Arabidopsis thaliana: one gene and its partners. The protein of the gene in region 1 interacts with the protein of each later gene in a pairwise test. Each region holds a gene or a part of one and is shown in the gene's direction. Other genes may lie near its edges.

Region 1 (7,195 bases):
AAAAGCTTATTAACCCATCCACTTCCTCCATTCCTCGATTCCTTATCATCATCATCATCACAAACTGTTCCTCCTTTATCCACGTCATCAATCACCGGTGGATTCTTAATCCATTTCGACCCTTGAAGAAACGGAATAATAGAAGAAGCCTTGAAAGATGAAACCCCCAGAACATTCATCGTTGACGACTCATGACCCGTCGTTGACTTCAATATCGAGATCAAACCCATCACAAGCGGGCTTTGACTTCCTTCTCCGATGAGCTCCCTCGCGATGCTACCATACATCGATGCAGGTCGATTCCGAGGAGATCTATCGAAATCACGCTTGTGGGAGAAGAATCTAGGACGAACCAAGGATTCAAAGCAGTAACCACCGGGACCAACACGGGTCCCGACGAGATTCCGAGCAACATGGGTGGAGTAAGTGAAAGTGATTCTTATCGCCATAACTACGAATTTGATGAAGAACTTGAACAAGTAAGGGTAAATCGAAGAGTCGTAAAGCAACAAACTTTCAGCTAAAGAGAGACTTAGAAGAACAAGTAACCCATTTCTAATCAAACGATCAGTGAATTGTAAACAGAATCTACGAATTGAAAGGTCGGACTAAGTCCGACGAGTCAACCGGAGGAAGGTGAATTCACTCCGGCGAGATTGATTGGATTCAGGTGAGAAGCAAAAAACCGTGAAAGGTGGAGACTTTAGAGAGAGAAAGATCTGGGTATGCCTAAAGAGAAGATCTTTTAGTTTGAGATTAGTTGTGCAATCAAAGGAAAGGAAACTTCTTGGCGAGTAGAGAGAAATGGTGATTGGTGAAGGTGAAACTCTTTTTTCTCAATTTTAAAATTCATTTTTGTTATTTTTAGCAGAAAGTCAAACATTTGACCGAAAAGGAAGAAGAAGGAGATAAGTCAAATCCGGCTGCTGGGCTTATTGGGTCACACGATCATGTCGTTTCATTTGTTATGCTTGACGAACGAAACCACTATATTTTGTTTAATATTACTTTCTTTTAAGTAAGGATAAAACATGTCATTGTTTTACAAAAAAATTAACTGATAAACATTTCTGGTTCCCTGAATATACTTTTTTTTTTTGTGAAAGGGTTTTCTTATATAACTTGAACATAAAAAGTATACAAAAAAAAACAAACAATAACCAGAAACTAGATTGGGGAAGAAGACCAACTAAGGTACTTAACAAAAGAAGATATCAAAACCTATATATCTTGATAATGATGGATTCTTTTTGGTTTGTCATGTTAATGATAGTTTTTAGTGTAGAACAATAAGAAATTGACTGAACAATTGTTAAAAAGAGTAAATATGAAGAGAAGAGTCACACATGAGACTCTGCTCATTTGTGTTAAAAAATAAAATAAAAATGACTCGGCACATTCTATAAAAAATCAGATGCGACGGTATATTCTATTAGAATAGTTTAAGAATACAGATCAGATTCCTGAGAATTGTTCTAGAAGAAATTTTATTTGAACTTTCTTTGACAAAAAAAGAAGATATTTTATTTGAATTTTAACATATGCATGCCTTTACTATTTACTTCCCTTATGAAGTGGGTCTACATGGTTAACTATGGGATTTATTGTAACTCTGACAGACTAAGCAGAATCAGTACTGTATAACTTCAAATAATTTTACAATACTTCTATATATATATAGATAAATAATGAATTTGATAAAAAAGATTCCTGTATTTCTAATATTATAATTTAATATGTATCATAGATCCTTATCTAATGTCAAATATAGTTAAAACTTAAAAGTAGAACCACAGTGCAAAGTTATATTATATACATATGTAAATTCAAATATAGTATGCTTGATACATTAATGTTAATTTTAACTTTTGATAAGTACTTTTTTATAGGTAGGTAATAAATACAAATTAGGTCATATGTGTGGATACAAATGGTTCTTATTGTTAGGTTTGAGAAATCAAATCGAGGGCGTAAAAAAAAAGTAACATGAATCATATGTAAGTTTGTCAGTGGGGGATGTTAACATGAATCATATGTAAGTTTGCCAGTGGGGGAGGTTAACACATGAATCATGTACCGTTCATTGGGTGTGGTTTAATACCTAGTCAAGTCGTTCGTACATGACATTTATAATCATCGTACCACATTAAATAATTGTCGACAAATCTTGGTTTCAACTTTCAACAATCTAGGGGTTTTTTCTTCTTTTTTTTTTCTTTTCTTTCAGGCTTATATTTAGATTGGGTTTTAAGTGGTGGTCAACTTACTAATTTAAATACGAAAACTCTTCTGTTATTTAGTGTTTTAAAACCATAAAACTATTTGCTATGATAAAATTGTTAGAATACACTCCAATATAGATGAATTTTATTTTACAATTTTTTTTGCCAAAATCAAAATTGTTAGATTTTTTGTAGACTAAAAAAACCATTGTGTGATTGTGTCTACTTCCGATTTGAGCGGATATACAGACTTAGTCGAGGAACTCGATGTTAAGCCTTGCTTCTTTTGTTGATTAAATAAAAACTTCTTGGACTAGTTGGATTAGATAACTTGTTGTGTATACTTATATATGTGATGTCCTTCACTTAAATGTAACACGTTATAGTACTGAAAACATAATAAAATGAATCAGTTGCGACTTAATTCATAAACCATGTTAGATTTTGGATGTTTCCATACAACAACAAAAAAAATTTAAGGATTCAAGCAACGTGAGTCATGACGCTTTAGCAATGAATTGTTTTCCTTTCTGTGAGTGAGTGAAAGATCGAAAATTTTGTGGTTGATTATTTAGAGCATAAATTATTCCTCTCAAGTATTAAACTAGTGACTTTGACCCACACATTAGTTTTCAAAACTATTAGACCACCCATTTGGTTTCAATATTTTCAATGTTTTATAGGTGATAAAGTTTTCGCAAGTTTTCGCTTAGAAGATTATGAGTACTCGAATTCAAATGCATGCAAATTCCAAAACAATTATTCGTCCTTTCCTTCTGTATGTCACATATTTTGTTGTGTATGTCAACAACTAGGCTTTTTTGTTTGGTATCTATAATTCGTTCCTTTTTTTAGTTTGCCGGATCAGAATGTATTTTATGATTCATATCTTCTACAAAAGAGCCGGATATACTATATAGTTTCCTAGTTTATGTTAAAATTTATGTATCCACTTTGTTCCATCAAAGTTATTAAAAAGATAAAAGTTGCAAGATAAGAAAAAATAACTACATACAAATTGCAAACAAAAAAATAATATTTTATAATAAATTCCTCATTTTGAATACATAATAATATATCGTTTATAAATACAACATATATCATATGCATGTATTATTATTACAAAGTGGAATGATATCCATAATTTAAAATGTTTGTATTTGTGATCTGCTTTGCTTCTGAAAATTAGTTTTAGCATTTAATTTATTCAGTAAGTTATGGTGTACCTATATTTTGTAAGTTAAAGGTTATGTGGCCAAGTAGGAGAGTTGGGGACCTCTCTTTGTGTCTCTACATAGTTTTGTAAACCTCACATCTCTTTCTTCGCTTGCATTCTCCAAACTCCAATTTTTTTTGTTTCTCTCAATAATATTTGTGTTCATACTGTTTCGCTGTTTCCAATACATACTAATGGATAACACAAACCGTCTTCGCCGCCTTCACTGTCATAAACAACCCAAGTTCACTCATAGCTCTCAAGGTTTGTCTTTGATTTAGTTGGAAATCTAATTGTTCTTCCTTTTGGTCTACGCTCATTCATTTGACCTGTAACATTAAATTGTTTTGTGATGTACGTTTTCACTGATATTTTGAATTTATATACTAACTAAAATGCAGAAGTGAGTAGTATGAAATGGGAGTTTATCAATATGACCGAACAAGAAGAAGATCTCATCTTTAGAATGTACAGACTTGTTGGCGACAGGCACGTAACATTTTTCTTCTTCTGTTTATATATTGATCTAGTTCCAAATAGAAAAATTAAATTCTTGACCTAATTGTATTATAATATGTGTGAAAATATGTGCTTTAACAATTAAATATTTTTGTTTGTGTGTGAGGGATAAAACTGTTTGCCGTGATTCAAGCTTCTATCCAAGATCATTTTTACCTTGTTCTGAAAATTCGGATGTCGTGAGAGTCAGGATCTGTCCACACCAAATTTTGGATCATATATTATAATTGTTTTTATAAAAAAAAATATCCGGATCTATAGTTATATATATATTTTGAAAGTTTTTTTTACATAAAAATAATTTTAGATACCAAATTTATTTTAAAAACTACTTTTTAAACTTAATCCATATTTTCTAAGACTGTTCAATATTTAATTTTTATTTTTTAATAATTCGAATCTGAAGCTTATATAAAGAATCGATGACTTGCCTAACAATTGTTATAAACTATACTATAATTTTTTTTATTTTATAATACTTCCCTTTGATTCTAATTAATTCAAGTCTTACAAAAAATAAATTGTTTCATAAATATATCAAGTTTTCTATGCATTCTTTAGTTAATCATGAGATGAACTGTAAACTCGAAAAAAAATAATACTATTGGTTTAGAGTTAGAGAAATTTATTAATCACAAAATGATATATTTATAATCAAATTTTAATTATTCGTTCTTAATATGTGTTAAAACCTTAATACTTAAATTAATTAGAAATAGAAAAACTATTGTTGTTTTAAATTTATATAAATATATAGACTGTTAATGTAATGAAATCAAAAATGTAATTTTAGTTTTAATAATTCATTTTTTTACAATAATCAGAATACTAATAATAACATATATATGTTGGTCACAAATTGAATCATATGATCAGGTGGGATTTAATAGCAAGAAGAGTGGTGGGACGTGAGGCAAAGGAGATAGAGAGATACTGGATTATGAGAAATTGTGACTATTTCTCCCACAAATGACGCAAAAGTCACTCTCTTTAAAAAATCTCGAGAATCTCCCTGTTTTTCTATTTCTCATCCTCATTAAATAATTTCTGTGATTGTGGACAAGAAAAGCTTTATTAAGTTGTCGAGTGGGGTTCTCCTCATCATTAAATCTGTTATGGTCACGGAAATTACCACTTTAATTGGCAGAAAAAACCTCTATGATTATAAGACACATTCGGTTAAAGCATAAGCAACCAAAGACCCGAATATGATTGATTAGATACGAGATAAGTTCATTATAACAATGCATGAAAAGAATTCAACTAGTTAATGGGAATATGAAGGTAGAATGTCAAAAACATGAACCGTGGTATGCAAGGGTTCTATCCAAAATGAGATCGGAATTTGGCTTGAATGTGAAGTTTTTCCTTGAAAAATGTACGAATGTGGCCAATGAGAAGGACCGTAGTGCTACTTGTGACGCCCTTGACCCATGTGGATTCTCTTCCATCAGTAGCACAGATCAAGCCTCGTGGAATAAGACAGAGAATTATCGATGATGGTTCCGTTGAGGATCGGATGCTGTCAAATGTGTCGTTCAGTATGTTGAGAAGATGCATTACCAAAATCACTCCACCATTTTCTATAGAGCCAAAATATTGGGAACATTCGTAGTACTAATAGTAATAGGTCCAAGTAATTTGCGGAAAAGTTAGTGGGCTTTAAATATAAAACATGACTGAAATTGGGCCGTATTCGACATTTAGTTGTATTATTCTCTAAATATTCAGAACTCTCAATAAAATCACTCTCTGGCGACTCAACGTTGGCCAGAGAATCGGAGAGGGACATTAACTGCTGGCAGACTGGCAGAGTGGCAGTAACCATACGCCGAAAGAGATATTCTCAACTTGTCCCGTAAATCAACATCTTTACGAGACCTTCATGCACCTTCGGTTCTTTCATTGTTTCTGGGTGGTTGGTGTGGCAAATAGCTAGCTGTACGTTTGAGGTTGCCAAGAACTCCAAAACTCAGACAGTACGTGAGTCTCAAAAAGTTTTTCCTCAGCTAGTTGGAGATTTTTAGCAGAAGTTGACCGAGAATGATTGTTAGTGTTAGTTTAGATTCTTTGATAATATACTTTTTCCATGTTGATAATTATCGTTATAGAGTAAAATTATAGTTAACTAATGTTGATAATTATAGTTATAGAGTAAAATCTTAACATTCATACAGTAAATATGTGTAAGTTTTGTGTAGGAGGCTAAGTTGAATCCATTCTGTTCACTCATATAATGGGTGCGCTGAAGTGAATCTACGCACTTCACATTTAAAATCATTGGACCACTTTAGAGACATATTGTGGACCAAGTTCTTAAATCGATCAAACATCTACCAATCAACAAGCCATGTATTTATTCGAACATGCATGTCTTTTTGTTTGTTTTTCTAGTTGATACTTATTGATCTGGCTTTTAAATTTGGCATCACTCGTATATATATATATATATATATATATATATCTCGTAGATACGTTATTGTCTTATAGATATAAGGTATGTCTTTGTCACAGGGCAAGCTCTAAGAACGTTAGTTGAAGTGACATACTGCAACCATGTCTGATGTTTCAAATTTCTTTCCAAGCTCTAAACCAAGAAAAAGAAAATAACTTATCAAAAGAACAAACTTGATTTAGCAAGAGCATCAATACACATGTTACAAGTACGAAGCTGGAACGAGACGGAACACTGATCAAAAGAGATCGTTGAAATTAGAAACCAAATCATATAAATGAACTTACTTCAGCCCCAGCGATGACGCGCACTACTCTTTTGCCCATCTAACTATCTAAATAGGCCTAGTCGAGGATAAACCTTTGGTTCTTTTCGTTAGTTAATAGGCCTAGGATTTGTCTTGTACTAATTAAATGTTGTATAATAATGTATACATATATATATATATGGTTCTTTATAGTTTCACGCTGAGACATGAACATTAACTGAGACAACTTTAAACCTTGAATATAATTGAGCTTGTTATACGTGTCAGTTTCTTATTACATCAACTGAATTTATTTATCACTGAGACATTTATTGACTCCAGTCATAAATAGTGCGTATATGTATAATTGTGTAAAAAAGGTATGTAAAATGTATGTTGAGAAACAAAAAAGGTAATATGTGTAGAATGCTAAAAATGAAAACAAAGTACAAAAAATCAGAAATTTCATTGGTGTGGCATAGTGGTTACTGGCTCGGATCTACTAGGACGAGTACGATTTCGGCCCACGTACAGAT
Region 2 (8,691 bases), on another chromosome or scaffold:
CGATCGTGAAAACCAGAGAGTGTACAAACATGAGTCCTGCAAAAATCAAGCACGTAAATATTTCATTAGCTACAAGTTAGAACATGAAATCCCTAGCAAATGAAGAATATTCAACCGCATGTATCTTATGTCAAACTTATAGACCATACAATAACAAAAAATACATCTTCAAAAGAGGAAAGATGTATATGCTAAACTCTATGAAGTGATAATTGAATGCCATTATATCCTCACCAGGGTACATATCCTTCACCAGATTGCATCCTTGAAATATCTGTCTTCCATATTTTCACTGCTAGATCATCACTGCAAAGTTCAGACAATCCAAATGTTAACAGACCAGGTAACAGAGATGAAATCTCCTATCCGAAACAATGGGGAGAAGATTCACCAACCTACAAGTGACCATCTTGTCCCCTGCAGCATTAAAAGAGATACTCCAGACGGTAGAAGAATGACCACTGAGTGAAGATTAAAGGCAACATATATTACTAAACGCATAAAAGAAATATCAAGAAAACAATAGCATCAAGGTAGGAAAATTTCAACATGTGAGAAGTAAAGAAGAGACAAATAGAGGATATACTTGTTAAGTTCACTTAAGGTTTGTACACAATTATAATCACCATCTTCATCCTCAGAGCACCAAATCTGTTAATAGAAACACAAGCATTGCAGTTAAATGCTTATGCATAGATATGACACCAATTCATGAAAGCACATTTGAAGCATTGTTCTCTTAACCTTGATAGTGTTATCATAACTGCAAGAGAACAAAACATCCATGGTGGGATGCCACAAGACCATCTTAACATCTTCTGAATGACCAGTTAACACTGCAATAGTATCAAATTCATCGTCCTCCTCTGGTTGTATTTCCCAAATCCAGACAGACTTGTCTCTACCACAAGTTGCAAGCAACGAACCAGATGCATTCCATGATACACTTTTGACTTCGCTTTCATGTCCCTAAGAAAATTCCACGAGATTTTAAAAAGTCAAGAAACCCAGAGGGACATCAAAGCCCTACAATAAATTTCAGTTGTCAACAAACACATAAAGGATAGGCCTTTGAGATAGTACATTTAGTACCCGTAAAACAGAGACAGACTCGGAGTCAGTAGCAAAATTTTCCCAAACGCAAGTATTGCCATCGAAACTTCCCAGACGGTGACCAAGCTAACGACTTCACACTTCTTGTGTGCGCGCCTTCCAAAACAGCCTGACCAATCACGAGGCTTCATGTTCATTAGTGACACATTATCTAACAACATCAAATTCGAAAGAAAGAGAGAAGAGAGACCTTGCAGGTCCAGGAACGAGTAAGAGAACTCTGCTCCCAGATTCGTACGGTCTTATCGGCACTGCAGGAAGCAATAACACCGTCAGCGGCGGGATTCCAGGCGACGTTCCAAACACGATCAGTGTGACCTTCAAGTTTCTGAACCTCCTCTAACCCTAAATTCTTATCCATCACTTTCATCTCCTTCTGGATCAGCAGAGAAGCCTATAAGTTCCACGAAAATCAAATTTTGCTATATATATAATATCGGCCCGTCGAGGTAAATAACAAAAGTTAAAGCATATGGTTAAGATTAATTTCCAATAAATTTTAGAAAGTCTAAACAACCTCTCAAGGTATTTTAAGAAGATACTTTTTCCAATAAAATAAAATCTATGGAAAATATTTGGAAGATATGGAAATATTGAGCTGTAAATTCTCATTTATCTGATTTGTAAATTTTCTTTCCAATTTTCTAAAAGTAAAAATTTACTTTAATTTTTTTTTGGGAAAAACCACACCTTTTAATGTATTGGAATAAGGTGAATGGTTTGGGCTCTCTCAAGGGATGTCTTTCTTGCATTGCATCATCTTCTATTCTTCTTCTATCTGCATTGCATCAATGAATCCACTAAAGTTTGGTTCCTGGATGGGTGGTGATAGAGATGGAAATCCAAATGTCACGGTAAAGGTGATAATGAGGGCTTGCTTTCTACATTACTTTTTTAGGGTTAGAATTTTGCTGGTCACTCAACTTGCTAACACACTTTGCTGGTCATTAAGAGTGAGTCCTTGATTTCTATGTAAAGATTAACTTGCTAACACACTTGGTTTTATCAATAAATTTCTTGTTCACAGAAGGAGTATTGCATATGTTTAGGTGGATGGCTATCGATCTTTACGTAAGAGCGATTGACATCTTAAAATTATACGCCGCTCTGAGAATGAATGTGTGTTTTCTGACCCTCAAGTGCTTCAGACACTGAGAATGAATGTGTGTTTTCTGATCCTCAAGTGCTCGACTTCTATATTAATTCGAAAGGAGTTAAGATCAAGTAGATTGTTGAACCTCAGTGAACTAGTTAATGCCCTCTGTGATCATTTATTCCCATTTTGCTTAGTCTGCCTATATATAATTCTAAGTCAATGAACTTGTATAATATTCTAAGCAAGACATCAGTAGCATATAGTATAAGTTGATACACAATAATTAAGCCAAATGACTTGGGAAATTATACGACTTCAGATAAAAAGCGCTCTAGTCTATGGAGTAGATTAAGCATCTGCTGGTGCTGGAGTCGATAGGCTCCATAGCCAACGTACATTTTGTTTCATTTTAGAAAAAGCATTACAAGTTCTTGTTTGGACTATCAGACAACAAAAAAAAGTAACTTTTATAATTCGCCTAGGACCCAAAAGTTATGAGCACGGGTCTAATAGTCTAACATTAATAAGTGTTATTGATTAAGATCGTAGGCATGATTAAAGATGCATTCCAGCTTCAGTTAATAGTCGGTACTATAGTTCCTAGTGTTATTGATACTATTCTGCTTTACTAAATCAAAATTTCAAACTATTAAATAATATAGACTTGTAAGCAAACAATAATAAGGATATGATATCAATAATTATCGATTTCTATTGAAAATAATTTTGTCCTATACGAACAACAATAACTGTTTCACCAAATCAATATCCAATTTTGCTTGGAGTGGCCATGCAAGATACTTGTCCTTGACCCTTTTCTTTGTCTCATACCAGCTTAGAAAGTCATTGTTTAGGCAAGTACCATTAACATTATTTAAAATACAGATCAAGTCACGCTAATACAGATCAAATCAAGTACCATTAGATTTTCTTCTTCTTTTGGTTGTAATAAAGAAGAGCATAATTTCAGATGTTGCAATCTATATAGTCTACGAGTAATAGAGTTCAATTCCATCATCATTAGCCATGATAATAAAGACGTAACACATAACGACACATTGAACTTAAAATAAATAAATAAATAAATAAAAATGATAAGAAAGGAACAATCAAAGAAAAGGCCAAGCAAATTGATTGATATTTTTGTAAAGCTTACGTAAAAAACTTATATGAAAAAAATACGTAAATGGATATAAGATTTGATGGCACAATACAAAGACACGAGTGGTGAGAAAAGAAAGAAGAAAAAGCAAGAACCCAAATGGATCACACATCTCATCAATTCTCCTTAAATGGCTAAAAAAGATCTCACCCTTCTTTACTTTTTTCCCTCTTTCTGATTTGTGATAATTGAAACCAGCACAAGAAGACAACACCATTTTCTTATAACTTTATAAAATTTTATAAATAGAGACACATACATATATATATATATAGAGACATGTAAATAGTAAAATGTAGGGTCTCTTCCCTAATTTAAAGCCTGCAACAGAAATGAGTGCACTTCTCTGTAGTAAACAGTAACACATCGGTCTTCTTCATGTCTTTGGATTTCTTTTTTGGATTTCGATTCTGTTTCAACCATATATTTTCTTTAGATAATTTTACTAGATTCATCTCTTTCTCTATGAACAACATTTTAAATAAATGACATTTTAAGAAAGTGATTATATATAAGATTTTCTTGATTCTGATTTATCTTTTTTTTTGGTCGGAAGATCTTAAAGATATGAAAATGGATTCGTGTCATAAACAGAGGCAGCTCCGTACGTGATTTGGCCCTCCTTCTTTTCAACTTCTTCTTTCTTGAATATTAAAGTTGTATTTTTCCCCTCGATAATACAACTTTTGGTTTGTTTATTTAGTTATAAAATGTTGCTATTTGTTGATCTAGTGCTCTGAATCTTTTAGTGAGGCAGATGATGAAGATTATGAATTTCTTCATGAAATTATTGTAAGAAAAAGTAAGTAATTTTTTTTGTAAGTGTTTGCGTTCATGCAAAAGAGATTAATCAGACCCACTTTTCTCTTTTTCAGTTTTGTTGCATTATTTTGTTCTCTTTAATTTATGAATACTAACTTTATTGTTGATTTCTGCTTTTTGGTTCTCTTTAGGAACATAGAGAAGCTGCGGAATGAAAGTACACTGTTCTTTCACGGAGAAAGAAGATAAATAAGCATTATCTTCTTCTTCAGTTTTTAACACACATTTTGGAAATTTTGATGTAAAAATTCTCTTTGGAACGTTGTGTTGTCTGAAATCTTCCCAAAGGTTCTATCAGAAGAAGAAGGATAAAGGCAAGTTTCAACATTTTTAATGTTCTATGGACATTTGTAGTAATCTAAAGCTTTCTTTTTTACTTATTAGTTCACTGTTTATCACAGATAGCTTTGAGATATTATTGGTCTGTGTATCATTGAGCCTAGTTACGGCTTCATTAACTCATGTTTCGGTTCTTTATATATTTTAATGAAATATTTAATGACATAGTGAGCGATGTTCTCTGTCTCTTGCAGCATTTTACATTTAGTACTATTCTCCAAAGATTTGGTTTCTTAGATTTTCTGAAATCTTTTGTCTAAGTCTTAAATACTTGTCTTCTTTGGTAATGCAGTTTCATAGAAACCCAATGGACAACAACAACAACAACAACACTTTTAGTTCTCTGGATAATGTCATGACTAACCAAAATCCTCTTCTCATGGATTTTATACCTTCAAGAGAAGATTCAACTTCATTCTCAACAATGCTTCCATGGAATACCATCAGATCAGATCCTCTACAAATGGGTGGCTTTGATATTTTCAATTCTATGCTGACTAACAAATACTTATCATCTTCTCCACGGTCTATCGATGTTCAAGATAACCGCAATGTTGAGTTCATGGCTCCTCCTCCTCATCCTCCTCCACTTCATCCTTTGGATCATTTAAGACACTATGATGATTCCTCAAACAACATGTGGGGTTTTGAAGCAAATAGTGAGTTTCAGGCATTTTCAGGTGTAGTTGGTCCAAGTGAACCAATGATGTCTACATTCGGTGAAGAAGATTTCCCGTTTCTAATTTCGAATAAAAGAAACAATGAGCTTTCATTGAGTCTTGCATCAGATGTTTCTGATGAATGCTCGGAGATAAGTCTTTGTGCAGCTACAAGATTAGCCTCAGAGCAAGCTTCTTGCAGCAGCAAAGACATTTCTAATAACGTTGTTACTCAAGGTTTCTCTCAACTTATATTTGGCTCAAAATACCTTCACTCTGTTCAAGAAATACTATCTCATTTCGCCGCATACTCGCTCGATTATTCATCTCGAGGAACCGAGTCAGGAGCTGCTAGTTCAGCCTTTACTTCACGTTTTGAGAATATAACTGAGTTTCTTGATGGTGATTCTAATAACTCGGAGGCGGGTTTCGGATCTACATTTCAAAGGAGAGCATTAGAAGCAAAGAAAACCCATCTCTTGGATCTTCTTCAAATGGTATGTAATATATTCATTCACTTTTTTTGCATAAGTTAAAAAAATGGTTTGATATATATGATGAAGTTTTATGAGTTGATATTTCTCTTCAGGTGGATGATCGATATAGTCATTGCGTAGATGAGATTCATACGGTTATATCAGCGTTCCATGCTGCAACCGAGTTAGATCCACAGTTACACACCCGGTTTGCCCTCCAAACCGTTTCCTTCTTATACAAGAACCTGAGAGAGAGAATCTGCAAGAAGATAATCTCTATGGGATCTGTATTGGAGAGAGGCAAAGACAAGACTCAAGAAACCTCTATGTTCCACCAGCATTGCCTTCTTCAGCAGCTGAAACGAAAGAACCATCAGATTTGGAGACCTCAACGAGGTTTGCCTGAGAAATCTGTTTCGGTTCTACGGAATTGGATGTTCCAAAACTTCCTTCACCCGTAACAATCCTTACTCTTCTTAACTATCTACTTTATGATGATGACATTGTTAACTCGATTTTATAAGCAAAGTTATGTTTTATTTAATGCAGTTACCCGAAAGATTCGGAGAAACATCTTCTAGCTATACGAAGTGGCTTGACAAGAAGTCAGGTAATGTCTCATGTTTGTTTTCTTATGCAATGACTCATTGATAACAAGCTTTGTTTTCTTATGCAATGACTCATTGATAAGATCTTTGTTTTCTTATGCAATGACTTATTGATAACATCTTTGCTCACAATGATAGCAAATATGGTATTCAAATGAGTAATATATATCTTGACATACTAGTCATGTCTGAAAAACCGGTATTGGTTATTTTAAGATGAGATTAGGGCTAGGAAAAAATCAAGCTTTTCTCTTGAACTACAAATGAGACTAGATTATGTATTCTTGAATTCACAATAATGTTACTCAAGTCCTAGGATTGTAGTCGCACATATGTTTTGTTACTGAAGTAAGTTAAAGCGGGCAAATGATATAGAGTGTGTCTCTTTGTTGTGTGTGATTAAAGGTATCAAACTGGTTTATAAATGCGCGGGTTAGGCTATGGAAGCCGATGATAGAAGAGATGTATGCGGAAATGAACAAGAGGAAGCTCAATAACAGTCACATTCAACCCAACGGACCAACTCTTCGAATGCCAAAATCTGTTATGATGAGCCAAGCAATGCATAAATAAGACAACAATTGTGTTTACCAACTTTGTGATAATTAGGCAATTGCTACTCTATGATTGCCCAAAACCTAAACCATGTACGACTATCATTACGTATGTTATAATTGTATATACAACTCCTTTATCTTTGACTATTTCATTTTATTATCCTGTATTCTTATATCATAATTATCATCATCCTCATTAAACTTCATGATCACCATTTTTACGTAAAAATAAAATTAAGTTCATGAAAATATATAAAAAGTATGTAACCACTGAAGATTTATTTTCATATTTATTCAAACAAACTACAAAATACAAACCTAAAGTTTTATTTCACCGTTTGCATTTAACTTTTTTTCTCTTACAAGTGAGTTTTATTATTCCAAAAACTGAAATGAATAATGACGAAAATCTCCTAGCAAGCGACGTCGTATTTTGGTTTGACTTGAGAATCTTCGGTCAACTAATAAAAACGCAGCGTTTTCATCTGGTACGGACACAATTAGAAATAGAAAGTAGGAAAAGGAAGACACTTTGCTAAAACTGAGGAAGAAAGTGTAAAGACGGAGCCTTTTACGGCGAATGGAGGAAGACAGAGCCACCATGACCGGAGCTGTAGCCACTCGAGACTCGGTGGAACCCAGCGAAGACATACTCATATGCGTCGATGTTGATGCGGAATCGACGGTGGAGATGAAGACCACTGGAACTAACGGTAAGCCTTTGAACAGGCTCGAGTGCCTCAAGCTAGCCATTACTCGCTTTATCCACGACAAGCTCTCCAGAAATTCCGATCATCGCTTTGCTTTCGCTACCCTCTCCCAGTCAGCCGCTTGGGTAAGACTTACTTTCTCCCCCAGCTCTCTTTATGTTAGGTTGCTTTTGCTTTTGAGTATGCATGCTCCTTAGATGTCAAATTTTGAATTCGTGATGTTCATTGGACTATGGTAGCTTATAAATGTGTTGAGAGAGTCATATTTGATGTATTGCATAAGCTTCACTAGTGTGACTGTTAAAGTTGAGGTCTTTTATGTTTCAGCTTAAAAAGGAATTCTCCAACGATGCTAAATCTGCTGCTGCTTCTTTAAGAGAAATGTCAGCTACTAGATCCTCTGGTCCAGCGGATCTCACATTTCTGTTCCAGGAAGCGGCTCAGGAAGCCAAAACTTCCAGAGCACAAAATCGAATTTTGAGAGTGGTAAGTTTTGTTTTGTGCAAATACTATCTCTTCTAGCCACAGCGTGATAAAAGAATCTGTTTTACAGATTTCGTTTATATTTTGCTCTTCAGATTCTCATGTACTGCAGGTCATCCGTGAGACCAACCCATGATTGGCCTATAAACCAGAAGCTCTTCACATTGGATGTTATGTACCTGCACGACAAGTCGGGTCCTGATAATTGTACTCACGATGTGTATGACTCTCTTGTTGATGCTATAGAGCGTGTTTCGGAGTATGAAGGTTACATCTTTGAGGGCAGTCATGGGCTTTCACAGTCTGTTTTCAGGCGTATGTCAACGTTGTTATCACATCCTCCTCAAAGATGTGCTCAAGTTGATCTCCCCAAGCCTCCTGCAAAGAAGGTGACTGCGGTTAAGAAATGCTTATATGACTTTTCTCTTCTTTTGCTGATGCAGACATTCTTTGATTTTGTTTCAGCCAGCTGTTTCCTGTGATAAATCAGCCTCAGATTCAACGAAAGGAGCGAAGCAACCGTTAGAAAAAAAACCTAAGACAAACACAAAGAGAATACACAGCCTAGGCAAAGAGAAAGTATGTTTTTGTTCTTTTCACGTTTAATAACTGTTGCTCATATCAAAGACTCTGGGAAGAACCTTACCAATTGCGAATTGTAGTAAT
Region 3 (8,668 bases), on another chromosome or scaffold:
AATAAATCCACAACGTCGTTAGGTGCAGGAACAGATCCTATAGATGATACTGATGGTTGTTGAGAGGATAAGACAACAGATTGCTGATGAATTTCATCAAGAACCTAAAATGAATGCACTGTAGATCCTTAGCATACATGAGAAAGAAAGATAGTGGCAAAAAGCTGTTAGTAGGGAGACCGAAAACATGTATTTACCTCGAAGAGAGCTTCAGCTAGCAATACTATCCTTGAGATGCTAGCTCTTGCATTTGTTTCATCGGTTGTTGCTGTTGTCGAACCACGGTTAGTAACTGCACGGCATGTGCAGCGACCTGCTTGATCTTGACCTGATAAGACACAAGATCTATCATGATGGACTGCGACATTCTCAAACCGGCTTCCTAATCTTTGAAGAGCGCGAACCTGTGGAATTAGTTATATCAGTTAGTTAGATCTTGAGTTGATCAGACACATCAAGGAAGAGAGAATCAATGAGTTTCAAACCTGAGATCTTATTCTCCTCCTTCTTTCAAGGAAATCTGATCTGTGTTCTAATAAACCTTGATACCTCCCTTCTCTCACAAGAGCAGCTGGTGTCTCATGATCCTGAATGCCGAATAAGGTCCTTCGAATGCTAGAAGCGGAACGATTTAGTATAGACGTTGAAGTCACAGGAGCATCCTCTGCTGCTGCGGTTTCAGCAGAGAAGAGATCAGTATCTTCTTCTCCCTGATGTGGCGAGGGACGGAATGCGAAATCAGAGAGTGAAGATCGGCGAAGAACTCTATCACGGAGTCTTCCAACACTCAGAGTTCTACTAAATCTAACATTGCGCTCAATAGAAGGTTCTCGTACAACATGTCTTCTATCAAGAAGTCCAGCATAAGTACTATCCATACCATTAACTACTCTCGGAGAACGTAAGCTACCATCTTCCCCAAATCTCATGGCATCAATATCTCTAACTACATTGTCAATCACAGGAATTCTCGGAGACTCAACTCTATCATTGAGCCTAATAGCAGATTCTGAAGGTGAAGTAACACCATCTTCTCTATGAGAAGAAGAGACTGGATAAGTCGTGTTGAAGGATCTTGAACTTGAAGCTCTGCTAAGTCTAGAGCTTATGTTACCAGGAATGAATTTGAAATGCGAAAAAACTCGACCTGGAGTAGAAGATTCTTGAATCGAACCGCTAACATTTCTCATCTGTACATTGCTTACACTAGCTTCCTCTTCTTCTTCTTCAACACCACACTCATCATCAAGCTCAAGCTCATCACAATGTCTTTCGTTTTCAGATTTCTTATCATCTTTCAATTCTTTATCATAGCAATCTGATGCATCTCTTCTCGATTCCATTCTACGCCGTGTAACACTTCCATGACTCTTCCTCATCCATCCATTACACACCTGAAGAAATCAAAACTCATGAACTTGACCTAATTTCAGATTTGACCAAAATAAATTAAATATCAAAACCAGACCTGTTCATCATTATCATCATCACTGTAATGAGAAGTAGAAGATGAAGCAAGACAAGAAGAGTGAAGACCACAAAAAAGACTCTTTGATCTTCTTCTCCTTCCACCACCACTAGAAGACGACGGAGGAGGTTGAGCCACGTCAGAAGCTTCTCTCGCCATCGCCGACGAGCCTAGACATGATTTGCTCCGGCCAGATCCCATCTTCTTCTCAAAAGCAAACAACTTTCTGCTAAAATTACATCATTGACACAAGACCCACAAGTCTTTTCCCCATCTTCTTCAAATCCACCAATCGAAGAAACCTCCAAGTCAAAATCTAAAGATCGAAACTTTTTCCTCAGATCTTTACATTGAAACCCGAATTCGTCATTGACAATGCAGAATCAAAAGCCCTAATTATTGAATCCCCAGATCTGAAACTCGATCGAGATTGCAAGAATACCTCGAAATCTGAACTTTTTTTATTGCGAGAAATTAATGTAGGAACTAAGCTATGTGTGTTGTCTTTGAATCAAAGAGAAATGCTTTGAAGAAAAGGAAAGATTTTTAGGTGATCGGAGTAATCGAAGAAGGAGACAAAGCACCTATCTGCGATAGAGAGAGAGACTTTTACGGGAAGAGTGTGTCTTGATGTTCGAACGAGAGGGAACAAAAAACCAAACTCACCATTTCTTTATTTTTCTTTCTTTTCTTTTTCAAACTATTATAACATTCTTTTGTTTTCGTTCGATTTTTTAATCTTTTTTGCAATCATAATTGGACTTCATTGAGGACTATAATTGAGAAAAAAGCTTTGAAATGGTCATTGAACAGTGATCACTTAGATGAAAAATAGTTGTAACCAAACCAAACTAGAATATTCAAACTATACTCAAAACTGAAATTTTGTTGACAAAGCCTTTTGGTTTTATAAATTGCGAAGCAGAAATACAAAATCGAACCAAAATCGAACCAAAATCGAATCTATATTCTCAAAAATTAAAATATAATTGAACTACACTAACTTCAAAGAAAGAAAGAAAAAAGATATATTAAAAATAGAAAAAAAAAATGAGTTGAAAAAAGTAAATCACAATAAACTAAAATATACAAATCATTTTTTTTTATGAAGTGATTGTTTTCAGTATTTTACAATTTAGATATAGTGGCATTCTAGCTTCAGAAGATTTTTGTTGGACCGGCCCTGTAAAGTCGATTTAAAGACCAAACAAAAACTAATTTTAACATGATAAAATCGAATCAAATAAACGGAAATTCATTAACATTTTATTTATAATTATAATGTTAATTTTACTAAAACCTACCTAAAATAAAAACCTGAGTCAAAATATGTAAACTAATTTTAACATGATTTTGGTTTGATTTACTAAACCAAAATCAAATCAAAAGACAAATTATGTATTTATGTTATTCAGTTTTTCTTTTCTAAACTAATAAAACCATGAAAAAAAGGATTGGAAACAAAACCGTAAAACCCATCGTGTCATTCCTAACAAACCCATCAGTAATTCAGTATCACTTTGTCAAAACTGGTCACATTGGCTATTGTTGAACAAAAAAAAAAGAGAGGTTTTTGACCAAAAAAAAAAAAAAAAAAGGAGGGGTTAATATTGACGATTTTGATAATGAGAGACTTTTAACGTAATTTATAATAATTACCGACGTTGATTTGTAAATCCATAAAGTTACAAAAAAATCTCAAATGTGGGAACAGCACAGAAGCGAGCAACTTCACCGCACAAAAATGCATACTCTCAACAACACCATCACCACCACCACCGGTTCGCAAGATCCGAATCTCGACCCAATTCCAGACCCGGATCAATTTCCCAACCGGAACCGCAACCAACCACAATCTCGCCGCCCTCGCGGATTCGCCGCTGCAGCAGCAGCAGCGTCGATAGCTCCAACGGAAAACGATGTAAACAACGGAAACATCGCCGGAATCGGCGGTGGAGAAGGAAGCAGCGGCGGCGGAGGAGGTGGAGGAGGGAAAGGGAAGAGAGAGAGGGAGAAGGAAAAAGAGAGAACGAAGCTTAGAGAAAGACATAGACGAGCAATCACTAGTAGAATGCTCGCCGGATTAAGACAGTACGGTAATTTTCCGTTACCGGCGCGTGCTGATATGAATGACGTAATCGCTGCTTTGGCTCGTGAAGCTGGTTGGAGTGTTGAAGCCGATGGTACTACTTATCGGCAATCACAGCAACCAAATCATGTGGTTCAAACTTCGAAACTCTCTCTCTCAAAATTCAAACTTTCATATTAAGCTATTTAAGTTAGGGTTTAGTGGAAAGATGATAAATTTGATCCCAAATATGTGTGAAGCTCTTAAAGTTATAAGCTTTGTTCTGTTATTAATGTAACATAGATTGTTTAATATTATTGGATTAGGTACAGTTTCCGACGAGATCTATTGAGAGTCCACTTTCTTCTAGTACATTGAAGAACTGTGCTAAGGCTGCAATTGAATCTCAGCAGCATTCAGTTCTTAGGAACGATGAGAAACTTGCTCCTGTGTCTCTTGATTCTATTGGTATTGCCGAGAGTGATCATCCCGGGAATGGAAGGTATACTAGTGTTAGTCCTATCACCTCCGTTGGATGCTTGGAAGCCAATCAGGTGAATGATAAATTCATTTCCTTATTAGGAGAATTGACTTTAAGCTGGACGTTGTTTCATCTAACCACTTTGTTTTTCTTTCAGCTTATACAAGATGTTCATTCCGCAGAGCAATGTAATGACTTCACAGAGAGCTTTTATGTCCCTGTGTACGCCATGCTTCCAGTGAGCTTCTGATGAGAGAACTTTGTGTTTTAAGTGTATATATATGGATGTTGCCCAATAAAAAAGAGTGTACATATATTTCTTACCAGTTTTGCCGCGATCCTTAGTTTTCCTGTGCTAAAGTTCTGTACCTTGTCTTTCAGGTTGGCATTATAGACAACTTTGGCCAGTTGGTTGATCCTGAAGGTGTAAGACAAGAATTAAGTTACATGAAGTCATTAAATGTCGATGGAGTAGTAATAGATTGTTGGTGGGGAATAGTTGAAGGATGGAACCCTCAGAAATATGTATGGTCTGGCTATAGGGAGCTCTTTAACCTTATCAGAGACTTCAAACTTAAGCTACAGGTGTGAATATTTTTACTTGTAGAGCTTTGTTAAATACATCCTATGTGACCAAACTGTGACTTTCCCTATAAAGGACCGTCTTTTTCATAATATCTTAGCAATCAGTATATGGTTTGTTTGAAGGTGGTGATGGCATTTCATGAGTATGGAGGGAATGCATCTGGGAATGTGATGATTTCGTTGCCACAGTGGGTGTTGAAGATTGGGAAAGACAATCCAGACATTTTTTTCACTGATCGTGAAGGAAGAAGAAGTTTCGAGTGTTTGAATTGGAGCATTGACAAGGAACGGGTATTGCATGGACGAACTGGTATAGAGGTACTCAAAGAACACTCATTGCTCAGAAATTGTTCAGTATTTTGGTATATTATGTCTCATTTCCTCCTCTTTTGTACTGTCTAGATTCTTATTTCTTCCTTTTCAACACTTGATTATCCAGGTCTATTTTGATTTTATGAGAAGCTTCCGGTCAGAGTTTGATGACTTGTTTGTGGAAGGACTAATTACTGCGGTTGAGATTGGTCTTGGAGCTTCTGGTGAACTAAAGTACCCATCTTTCCCAGAAAGGATGGGTTGGATTTATCCCGGTATCGGTGAGTTTCAGGTATTTTTCAGATTGCTGAACTTTACTTCTACGTTCTAACTTATGACTAGTGAAGTTAACATATCAATTTACTATTTTTCCTATTGCAGTGTTATGACAAATATTCGCAATTGAGTCTGCAAAAGGAAGCAAAGTCACGAGGATTCACTTTCTGGGGTAAAGGACCAGAGAATGCTGGTCAATACAGTTCTCATCCACATGAAACTGTGTTCTTCCAAGAAAGAGGTGAATATGACAGCTATTATGGCCGCTTCTTCTTAAATTGGTACTCACAATTGCTAATTGGTCATGCTGAGAATGTTCTGTCTCTTGCAAATCTCGCATTTGAGGAGACGAAGATTATTGTCAAGGTATAATCCTTTTGGCACTTATCCTTCAAACCCAGTGATGCCTATAACAATGAGACTCATACACCAAAAACAACAATGCAGATACCGGCAATATACTGGTCATACAAGACAGCTAGTCATGCTGCTGAATTAACTGCAGGATACTACAACCCTTCAAACCGTGATGGGTACTCTCTTGTTTTCGAAACTCTGAAGAAATATTCCGTGACTGTGAAGTTTGTGTGCCCTGGGCCACAAATGTCTCCCAATGCGCATGAAGAAGCATTAGCTGATCCAGAAGGTTTAAGTTGGCAGGTAATGACACTTTTTATTGATGACTATAGCTTTTTTTACTTCTCAGCAAATGTAATCTTAACCCTAAAGTTTTGGTTATTTGTGGCAGGTGATCAACGCAGCTTGGGATAAGGGACTTCAAATCGGTGGAGAGAATGCGATTACTTGTTTCGACAGAGATGGTTGTATGAGATTAATCGATATAGCTAAACCAAGAAACCATCCAGATGGCTATCACTTCTCCTTCTTCACATATCGTCAACCTTCTCCTCTGGTTCAAGGATCTACTTGCTTTCCAGATTTGGACTACTTCATTAAACGCATGCATGGTAAGATTTACCCGCACGCTTGATTGTGCCTTCCCTTTAGATTCGTTGTCAAAATCTTTGTTCTTACAACTATATTTGTTTCTTTGCAGGCGACATAAGAGATAAACAGTTTTAGGATTTGCATGGTCTTAGGATTCTTTTAGTAAGTGTCTTTTGTTTAAAACTTCAAAATCTGTTTTGTTTTGTTTATTCTCTCCTCAAGGCCTATATTTAAGACGATTGATCTTGTAATCTTTAAACACCTTAACACTTCACTAGTTGAAGATGAACTAACTAATTAAATTCTTAAATGCATTCTAATCCGACTCGCGTAAAGTAGACACTTGTTTAGTTTTATTTTGAAAAATACAAGAAGGTATTGATGTCTAATGAATACAACCGAAAAGTGTTGCCTAACTCTTATACCTTTTTGTCTAAATTATTCTTAGAATAACCTTTTTGACTATATATGCCCGAATCCGATTACATTAATGGTATTAATAATTTTTGTTCAAAGTTACATTTTTCTTTTGTATCATTCAAATAATATTCTGATAAAATCCTGATTTTTCATGATTGTATTTGACATTTTAGATCCAACCAAATCTTTGAAGAACAAATAAAGAGGGGAAAAAAAGACCAACATGTCCTTTTGCATTCAGTGTTAATTCATGGACAATATAATGTTGGTCCGTACGAAAATTTGATTTTGTATCTAAAGAAGCATAAGAAATAGGGTTAGTTAACCACAACGAACAAAGCCTCTATTATACATATCTAAATGTGGGATAATGAGGCAAAATGTCCAATATGATTAATGAAAAAGATGGAAAAAAAGTCTTAGGTGGTGTGTGATTTAAACTGTGTTTTAATTACTTTAAATGATATGAAAAATCTGTTATTATTTAATCAAGATTCTATTAAATTCTGTTAAAGTTTTTTTTTTAGTAGTAGAGGGGAAACAACCGTCTCCCGCAATTTATTGAAACTGAAAAGAAATTACAAAACGGTAGGCGGGTGAGCCTCGGAAACGCAGTTCCTCGGACATCCTCCCTTACAATCTCCTCCACCAATGAGGGAGCTAAATCAAACTAATGAATACCTAAAGATAGATTAAAAGCATAGTTCGCTAACCCGTCTGCAAGGCTGTTAGCCTCCCTATATACATACGGTTAGCTTCTCTGTTTTAGTTTGATGTTATTAGTTTTTGATTTATTAAAAAATCTTTAAAACTCTTAATAAATTTGGATTTATTGGAATTATATTTTAAAGTCATTGAAAATTTTGTGTTATTCAACTAAAACAAAAAAAATATTTGATTGTTAATGAATTAAATTATTCTGTTATTGGTTTATGATTTTCTATATTTTTACTAACAAAATAAAATCATAAAAAATATAATCGAATGTTTGACAAAAAAAGTATAATCAAAATAGAGATATTGTTTGAAAAACTTTACAAGATTGTGAAAAATTAATTTACATGATTATAGAAAACTCTCTAGCAATAGTTTATCAACAATGATACATTTTTTTTGCTTTAATTGAATATCACAAAATTTTAGCTATAAAAACATGAATCTGATAATTCCAAGAGTATGAATATTTTAGATTATATTTTATAAATCTTAAAACTAATAAAATCAAACTTTAACAAACAAAAAAAAATGAAAATGTTGATTAAATAACAAAAGATTTTACATAATATTAGAAGTCACTAAAACTCTATTTAAATCACAAACCAATAACATCATCAAAATAAACAAAAGAAAAATATACGTCATCAACGGCGTTTACTATTCTGAACGAAATTGTATAAATCTCATCATCACTAACCTAAAACCAGCATAAACCCTAAAATTTTCTCAAAACCCCATAAACGGTAAACCATAAAGCTTCAAAATTTACAGAGTTTCCATCAGAATCTGTTGATATCTAAATTCATTTACCCGTTAAACATTAATAAATAATAACTGATAAAGAATTCGAAAACAATATCTATATAGCTCAAAAACCCTAGATCCTAACATTTCAAAAACAAAAACATTATTCTTAAAGCTTCGAAACTAAAACAAAGACTTAAAAAGTAAGGAAAAAAACAACAAATTATCTTGATTTAGATAAAACCCAATACCGAATCAATCAAATCACACAGTTTTCAACAAAAAAATTAGACGAACAACAAACAGAATAATTGTGTCAGATCTGATAGTTGGATCCTTATTTTTTCACCTCGGACTCCGATTCAGTTGATACAAGACGGGAGCTCACAAACCAACCATGACAAGACACGTGTCGGTGTCAGCCAATCAGTTCCCGACCTGCACCAAGCGAATCCGAGACCGCCGGTAACTTTAACAATCATCGCATCTCTCTCTCATCAGAAAAAGGTGAAAGAGAATAAGGAGGAGAAAACAGTTACCAAATCCGGCAAATATTTTTTCTGTGATTTTTAGGTCTTTCTCAACTATCGATAATACTTTAGCAGCCTCCTTTAGTGGTATTTAATGAAAATGATAAACCAATTATTTG
Region 4 (5,879 bases), on another chromosome or scaffold:
ACTCCCATCTATCTTCAAGCTAATACTTTTTGTATTTTCGTGATTTTATTTTAAATACTAAGATTTTTGCCTCATTTTATCAAACACTTGAAACCCACACTATATATGTACGTGAATGAGCAAGCAGAAGTTATTGCCTCCTCACTCTCTAACTTGAATATTTTATTCTTAATTCTCTTCTTCCTCTCTACACACCCAAATCTCTTCTCCCTCACTCTCTGTCTCTCTATGTATAAAATATAATATGTGTGTGTAAGTAGCTACATATACGTGGCCATGGAGATTATTTGGAGTTTGATGATGCAAGAGAGAAAGTAATGGGTGAGTAACACTTGATGGAGAAGCAGGGCACGTGCGAACACAAATGAAATCGATCGGTACTTGTTGATCATATTTTCGCACGTGTTCTACTACTCCAACACGTGTCTCTCCCCCTCCCCGAGGATGCAATCGTCAATGGATAGAACAGAATGTAAATAAATTTAGCGTTCTAAGTTTTTACTTTATTAGACTACATCATGCGTATTAGGGTGTATATATGAGACATGAAGTTAACATTGATTGTTACTCCACTTTTTGTGTTACATTACTTTTTTTTTTTTCTTTCGGTAAAAGGTTATGTGTTACATTACTTGAGTAGGCAGTGGTACGTAATAATAATGCATACGAGTATAATAAAGTCATGTGATATAGACATACACAGTAGTAAGCATTGATATAGTCATTTCTCATAATATTAATATGATAGAAATGTTTCTTAGAGTTATTTTTATGTAATATAGATATCATTGAACTGAACCAAATGAATTTCCGTCGAGAGTATTGAAATTGCGACAAGACAGCTTTATAAAAATCTTTCTCTCTAATTACTGTTACGGTTTTACTAGAACTACTTGTTTCTGTTATGTTTAGTAAAATTGTTTTACTTTACATGAATGATATATTGATATCGGAATATTCAAGTTTCAAGACTGTTGTTAACTCTGACAGACACTATCTGTTTTATTTATTTATTTACTTTTAAGTAATACATTCAAAATTTGAGATGTATAAATGGATAAGAAACCTTGATATATGTTTCAAAAAGCAAATTGAGGAGAGTGTAATAGTAATAATGTAAAACAAAAAGTTGAATAAACGATTTTGGCTCACGTCATTGTTATTAAAAATGTATGCATGCGTGAAAAATAAGTGTAGGGTAAAAAGAAGAAAGTTTGTTGAGGCAAAGTTGCCTTAGAAAGCGGGGGAATTTCTCTCTTTCACTCACTGACATTATGTCTTTGTGTACTCACTCTCAGTACCAGTTTATTAAAGTATAAATAAAATGATATTGATGAAGAGAAACAATATATATTACACGAAGATAAAAAGATAAATTACGTAAGTAATATACTAATATTGTCATATATTTATGGAGACATAAAAAACCAAAAAAAAAAGATCTTGAGGTGATGAAAACGAACTTTTTGCAAGCGTCGTTGTTGTAGGCATTGCGGATGACTTAAAAATAATCAAATAAACAAAGAGAATGATACGTTTTATTAAATCATACATATGTCTTAAGTTATATTTTAAAATTTTAAATCATAGCCTCAACGAAGTTTGAAAAGGGATTTCAATTAATTTTTGCAAAAAGTTAATAGCAAATAAGTTCAGAGAGATAGAAAATAAATGTATCATCCAAATAGAAGAAATATAAATAAAGAAGAAAAAATTGATGTTAAAAAAAAAAGTTAAGGAATAACCCGACCCGAACAACCCGGTTTAGCCAAAATCTCAGGACTAGAAAATAATCAAATATGCTGGCAAGGCCAATTCGGTCCCATTAATAACTTATACATTGAATATCATAACATTTTTTGTTTTTTTCTTTCACAAATTATAGGAAAAATGGGTAAAAAACCATCACCAAATATTGTGTAAATATTTTACTAAATTGCATAACAATTTATAAGTTCTTTATAATATACACCATTCACCACTTAGTTTATTCTAATTATCTACATATACATTTTTGCAGCCACTTTGTAAAATAAATCCTGGAGTTGGGATTTATTTACAGTGGCTGCCACTGACATTTAATAATTATTTTAGATAATTAGAAAGAAAATCTTCTAATTAAATATTTGACATTTAACAATCTTCTTAAAATCTTTCTACCTTAACTACACGATTAATTACTAAAATAAAACTTTCAAAATATTTAATATCATTTAATTACTACAAAATTATCATTTTTGATGTTGCTTTTCTGCATGATTATAATCATCAAATCGCAGAGATATTTGATAGCATGTAATTACTACAAAATTACAAAATATTTAGACAATAATTCATAAACATATCATAAATAAGGTCAACATTAATAAAATAAATGAGTTTTCTTTACAGGACAGGTTGGCGGGACGGGTTTGGCAGGACGTTACGTAATAATAATTATAAACTATAAAATAAAAATATTTTATAAATAGATACAATTTACAATATATATATTAATTTAAAAAATAAATTGTTCCCCCGATATACCGCGAGTTTAAATATAGTTTTATATACATTTTGCTAGACTGCGATCTTGTAATCTTCTGATAACATCACAAGTTGGATACAATTTTTTTTTTCTCATCATGTCTCTTCTAAATTTTATTCTTTTTTCGTTAACATTTTATCCTTCAACTTACCACCCTCGTTATACTTTTTTTTTTCATTTAAGAAATGTAGTTTAGTTTTACATGCCTTTACTTATGAAGTTTTTAAACTTTACGATGGGTATTGTAATTTTGCTAACCTATTTTTAATATATATATAAAATCAAGAGATTTAAAAACTGATTTCTTAAAGAATTATCTATATGGTAAATAGTTCATGATTAATTTACCAGTCAACAACCGAGATTCAATGTCTCCAGCAAGGGAAATAATCACAAAAATATTTTGAAACAAATCTTTGACTACCTTTTAATACCATATCTTATTAATCATCACAATATTTGAAAATTATATATATTATTAAATAATTATATTAGTTGCATCATGTTTAAATAACATTACCAGATTGATATTTATTGATGATTTTTGCTGTTAAAAACTAAATTTGCTAGCTAAACATTTTATCCTATTTTATTGTTTTGATGTTACCACTCTATAAATATTTGGACTATAGTTCTACATATGTCAATCAGTAGTGATAATACATGTAGTAAATAAGAAAAACGGTTATAATCTCTATCTTCAATCCATTCAGATTTTTTTTATAATGTTCATGCATTAAAGCTTGATTTGGAAGTTTATATTTTCTTGTATTAAAATAAAGATACCCTATATAACAAATATTTGTACCTTCTCAGTACTACATAATACTACACATTAACAATCTCAAAATATACAAAAAAACATTTTAATGACGAGAAATAAAATGAAACTTGCTTTCATTTCCAACGATTCTTCAAGAAAAGCAACTTTCAAAAAAGAAAGAAGGGGTTGATGAAGAAAGTACATGAACTCTCAACTCTATGTGGCATCACATCGTGTGCGATCATCTACAGTCCGTATGATACCAGTCATGAAGTGTGGCCATCAAATTCTGGTGTGCAAAGAGTGGTTTCCGAATTTAGGACACTCCCGGAAATGGATCAACACAAAAAGATGGTAGATCAAGAAGGTTTTCTCAAACAAAGGATCGCGAAACCGACAGAGAATTTGAGGAGACAAAGAAAGGACAATAAGGAGCTCGAGATGACTGAAGTCATGTTTCGATGCTTAATTGGAAACATGGAGATGCTTAAATCAGAATCACAATCAGAATCAACAACAATGGTTTATGAAAATGATGAACCATCTTGAGCAAATGAAGTATCCAGGAGAGCAAATGGCGTTTCAATTCATGGATGATAGCCAACACAACCACATCCACCGTCATCAACAAGAGCACCAACATCATATCCCTGGAGAATCTTCCATCGCTCTTGATGTCGGCAACTCAAGCGATATCGTACATAGTTCTTGTTCTAAGTATTTCCAATAATAAATGGTTTCGTTAGGATTTTATTTAATGTGGTATTACAATAATTTCGAGAATGGATTGATAAGTGAATTTATAATTAGCTTTCAGTTTTTTTGTCATGTAATAGATTGCATCACAATTTATGTTTTTATTGTTATCAGTTTGATGATGGTGATATTTTTCATTCTATTTTCACAATGATATGTTGTTTTTAAATTTAGAGATTTGTGATACTCTTATTTTTATTGTTTCATTTTTCCGTTTATGTGTTGTTTTTCAACATATGTCTTACCTTTATTAATTCTTTAATAACATTTTGAGCAGATTAGATTTAAGGTTTCTTTTCAATTTTAGAACTGTTGAGATTTTATATTTTTTCTTTCAAATATAAAATATGACAGCTCACATTTTAAAAAAGAAAATATTTTCGTTTAAAGTGTTAAGTACAAATATTATATAATATATAATCAATAATATACACTGAAATGTTAATGTACCTAACATATTGTAAACCATTTAAAATTCTTTTAAAAACTCTTGTAAACCCTTTAATATTATGTGAACCATTTTAAAAGTCTTGTGAACCTACAACTCAATTTACTGTTTTATTGTCTTTTAGGTTCATCTACTTTGTCTAGCTTAATATTAGTCATCATAAGTTTATTGTGTTAACAACGAGAGCTTAGTGGAATTTGACCCTTAAGTGCTAACAACGATCTCTTATTTGTGGGAGTAAGCATAAGGCAATTTGAGCTATATCAACTCCGAAGCAAAACAAACTACATTACAAAAACATTTTAATCATGACTATCAAAAAACAAAATCCTTTTAAGTATTTTATCAACACACACTTGAACTTTAAAATCATAATAAATTTATTTTTAACACCATCAATAATATTTTTTAACACCTTCTGACATATCAAATCAACTTGATCTAGTAGAGATTATATAAAACAAAAAATTATCATGCAGTATACTATTACTTAATGACAATCATGCATAAATTATTTGCAAACTTTTATATAAAATACATAATCATATTAAAATCACAAATTTTAGAAAACAAATCATCCCATGGTGTAACATATCAATACCTAGTTAATGCTACAAATTTCAAGCCCAGACAAAGATATACATTTATCCCACAAGTGATGAAATATGAAAACCATTAATGGTATAAAATCAAATAGAATATGAATGGATATTCATTAGCAATTTAGCACTAATATTTTTCATTTAGTCAATGTATTCATTCTCATTTATGGGAATGAGTGGATTTTGATTTTATATTTTATTATTTCTTTAAAAGTTTAAAACTCAACCATGTGGAGCATAAATTGTTATGCTTTTTAGGTTTTTATTTAAAGTACAAACATATATATATATATATATATATATATATATATATATATATATTATCTGATTCACAAGTCACAAACAACCATAGTAGGGAAACTGATAGAAATGTTAGATTTGTCTAATTACCGGAGGAGCTCCTCCAGTTGATTGTCGTCTGATTGTTTTCCGTTGTCAAACTCAAACATCTCAATAGCATTTCCACATCTTAGCGCTACTTTGTTTTCGACGTGACAAGGACCAATCATTTCCCAAGCCGCCTTTTCATTCACTTTAATCTCATCCTCCATAGCGAGACCCTACTACACGGCCATGTATTGTTTTTTGAAACTCTATCCATGATCGTGTAGTAGAGTCTCATTAGGGGGATGTGATTGAAGTGGATGAGAGGTCGCCTTGGGAAAAGATTGTTGTTTGTTGAAAAAGGAGGAGCGCCAAGATGTGCAAATACTTTAGAAATGTTTGAGTTCATCTGATAGCCAAAGAGTATTGTCATGGTACTGTTTTGATTATCATTGGACT

Evidence for each region.
Region 2: the proteins of TCL1 (region 1) and ATH1 interact in a two-hybrid assay, tested with the Arabidopsis thaliana proteins (one large-scale study listed by BioGRID).
Region 3: the proteins of TCL1 (region 1) and BMY2 interact in a two-hybrid assay, tested with the Arabidopsis thaliana proteins (one large-scale study listed by BioGRID).
Region 4: the proteins of TCL1 (region 1) and AT5G27810 interact in a two-hybrid assay, tested with the Arabidopsis thaliana proteins (one large-scale study listed by BioGRID).

Annotation. Positions count from the first base shown.
Region 1 is NC_003071.7:12,966,498-12,973,692, reverse strand, and holds TCL1 (Homeodomain-like superfamily protein), read left to right. Parts: upstream 1-3,452; 5' UTR 3,453-3,632; coding exon 3,633-3,702; intron 3,703-3,839; coding exon 3,840-3,927; intron 3,928-4,833; coding exon 4,834-4,930; 3' UTR 4,931-5,128; downstream 5,129-7,195. Other genes in the region: TPP (thylakoid processing peptide), read right to left, coding at 1-449; AT2G30430 (uncharacterized protein), read right to left, coding at 5,281-5,517. UniProt on the Arabidopsis thaliana protein: MYB-type transcription factor involved in trichome cell specification. Acts as a negative regulator of trichome patterning and formation by direct binding to the cis-acting regulatory elements of GL1, thus suppressing the expression of GL1.
Region 2 is NC_003075.7:15,913,022-15,921,712, reverse strand, and holds ATH1 (homeobox protein ATH1), read left to right. Parts: upstream 1-3,559; 5' UTR 3,560-4,173; exon of another isoform or gene 4,174-4,324; 5' UTR 4,325-4,507; intron 4,508-4,824; 5' UTR 4,825-4,839; coding exon 4,840-5,688; intron 5,689-5,780; coding exon 5,781-6,124; intron 6,125-6,216; coding exon 6,217-6,277; intron 6,278-6,680; coding exon 6,681-6,848; 3' UTR 6,849-7,043; downstream 7,044-8,691. Other genes in the region: AT4G32990 (Transducin/WD40 repeat-like superfamily protein), read right to left, coding at 1-36, 235-306, 396-461, 587-651, 745-969, 1,093-1,179, 1,304-1,483; AT4G32970 (BRISC/BRCA1-A complex protein), read left to right, coding at 7,413-7,667, 7,870-8,028, 8,121-8,414, 8,491-8,604. UniProt on the Arabidopsis thaliana protein: Transcription factor which may be involved in the signal transduction pathway downstream of the COP1 gene. Controls floral competency as a specific activator of FLC expression. Is responsive of the nuclear import of SHOOT MERISTEMLESS (STM).
Region 3 is NC_003076.8:18,350,424-18,359,091, forward strand, and holds BMY2 (beta-amylase 2), read left to right. Parts: upstream 1-3,101; 5' UTR 3,102-3,170; coding exon 3,171-3,689; intron 3,690-3,862; coding exon 3,863-4,090; intron 4,091-4,174; coding exon 4,175-4,255; intron 4,256-4,398; coding exon 4,399-4,602; intron 4,603-4,725; coding exon 4,726-4,920; intron 4,921-5,041; coding exon 5,042-5,206; intron 5,207-5,295; coding exon 5,296-5,556; intron 5,557-5,637; coding exon 5,638-5,850; intron 5,851-5,938; coding exon 5,939-6,158; intron 6,159-6,247; coding exon 6,248-6,273; 3' UTR 6,274-6,465; downstream 6,466-8,668. Other genes in the region: AT5G45290 (RING/U-box superfamily protein), read right to left, coding at 1-104, 198-404, 486-1,394, 1,469-1,669.
Region 4 is NC_003076.8:9,852,348-9,858,226, forward strand, and holds AT5G27810 (MADS-box transcription factor family protein), read left to right. Parts: upstream 1-3,323; 5' UTR 3,324-3,479; coding exon 3,480-3,839; 3' UTR 3,840-4,111; downstream 4,112-5,879.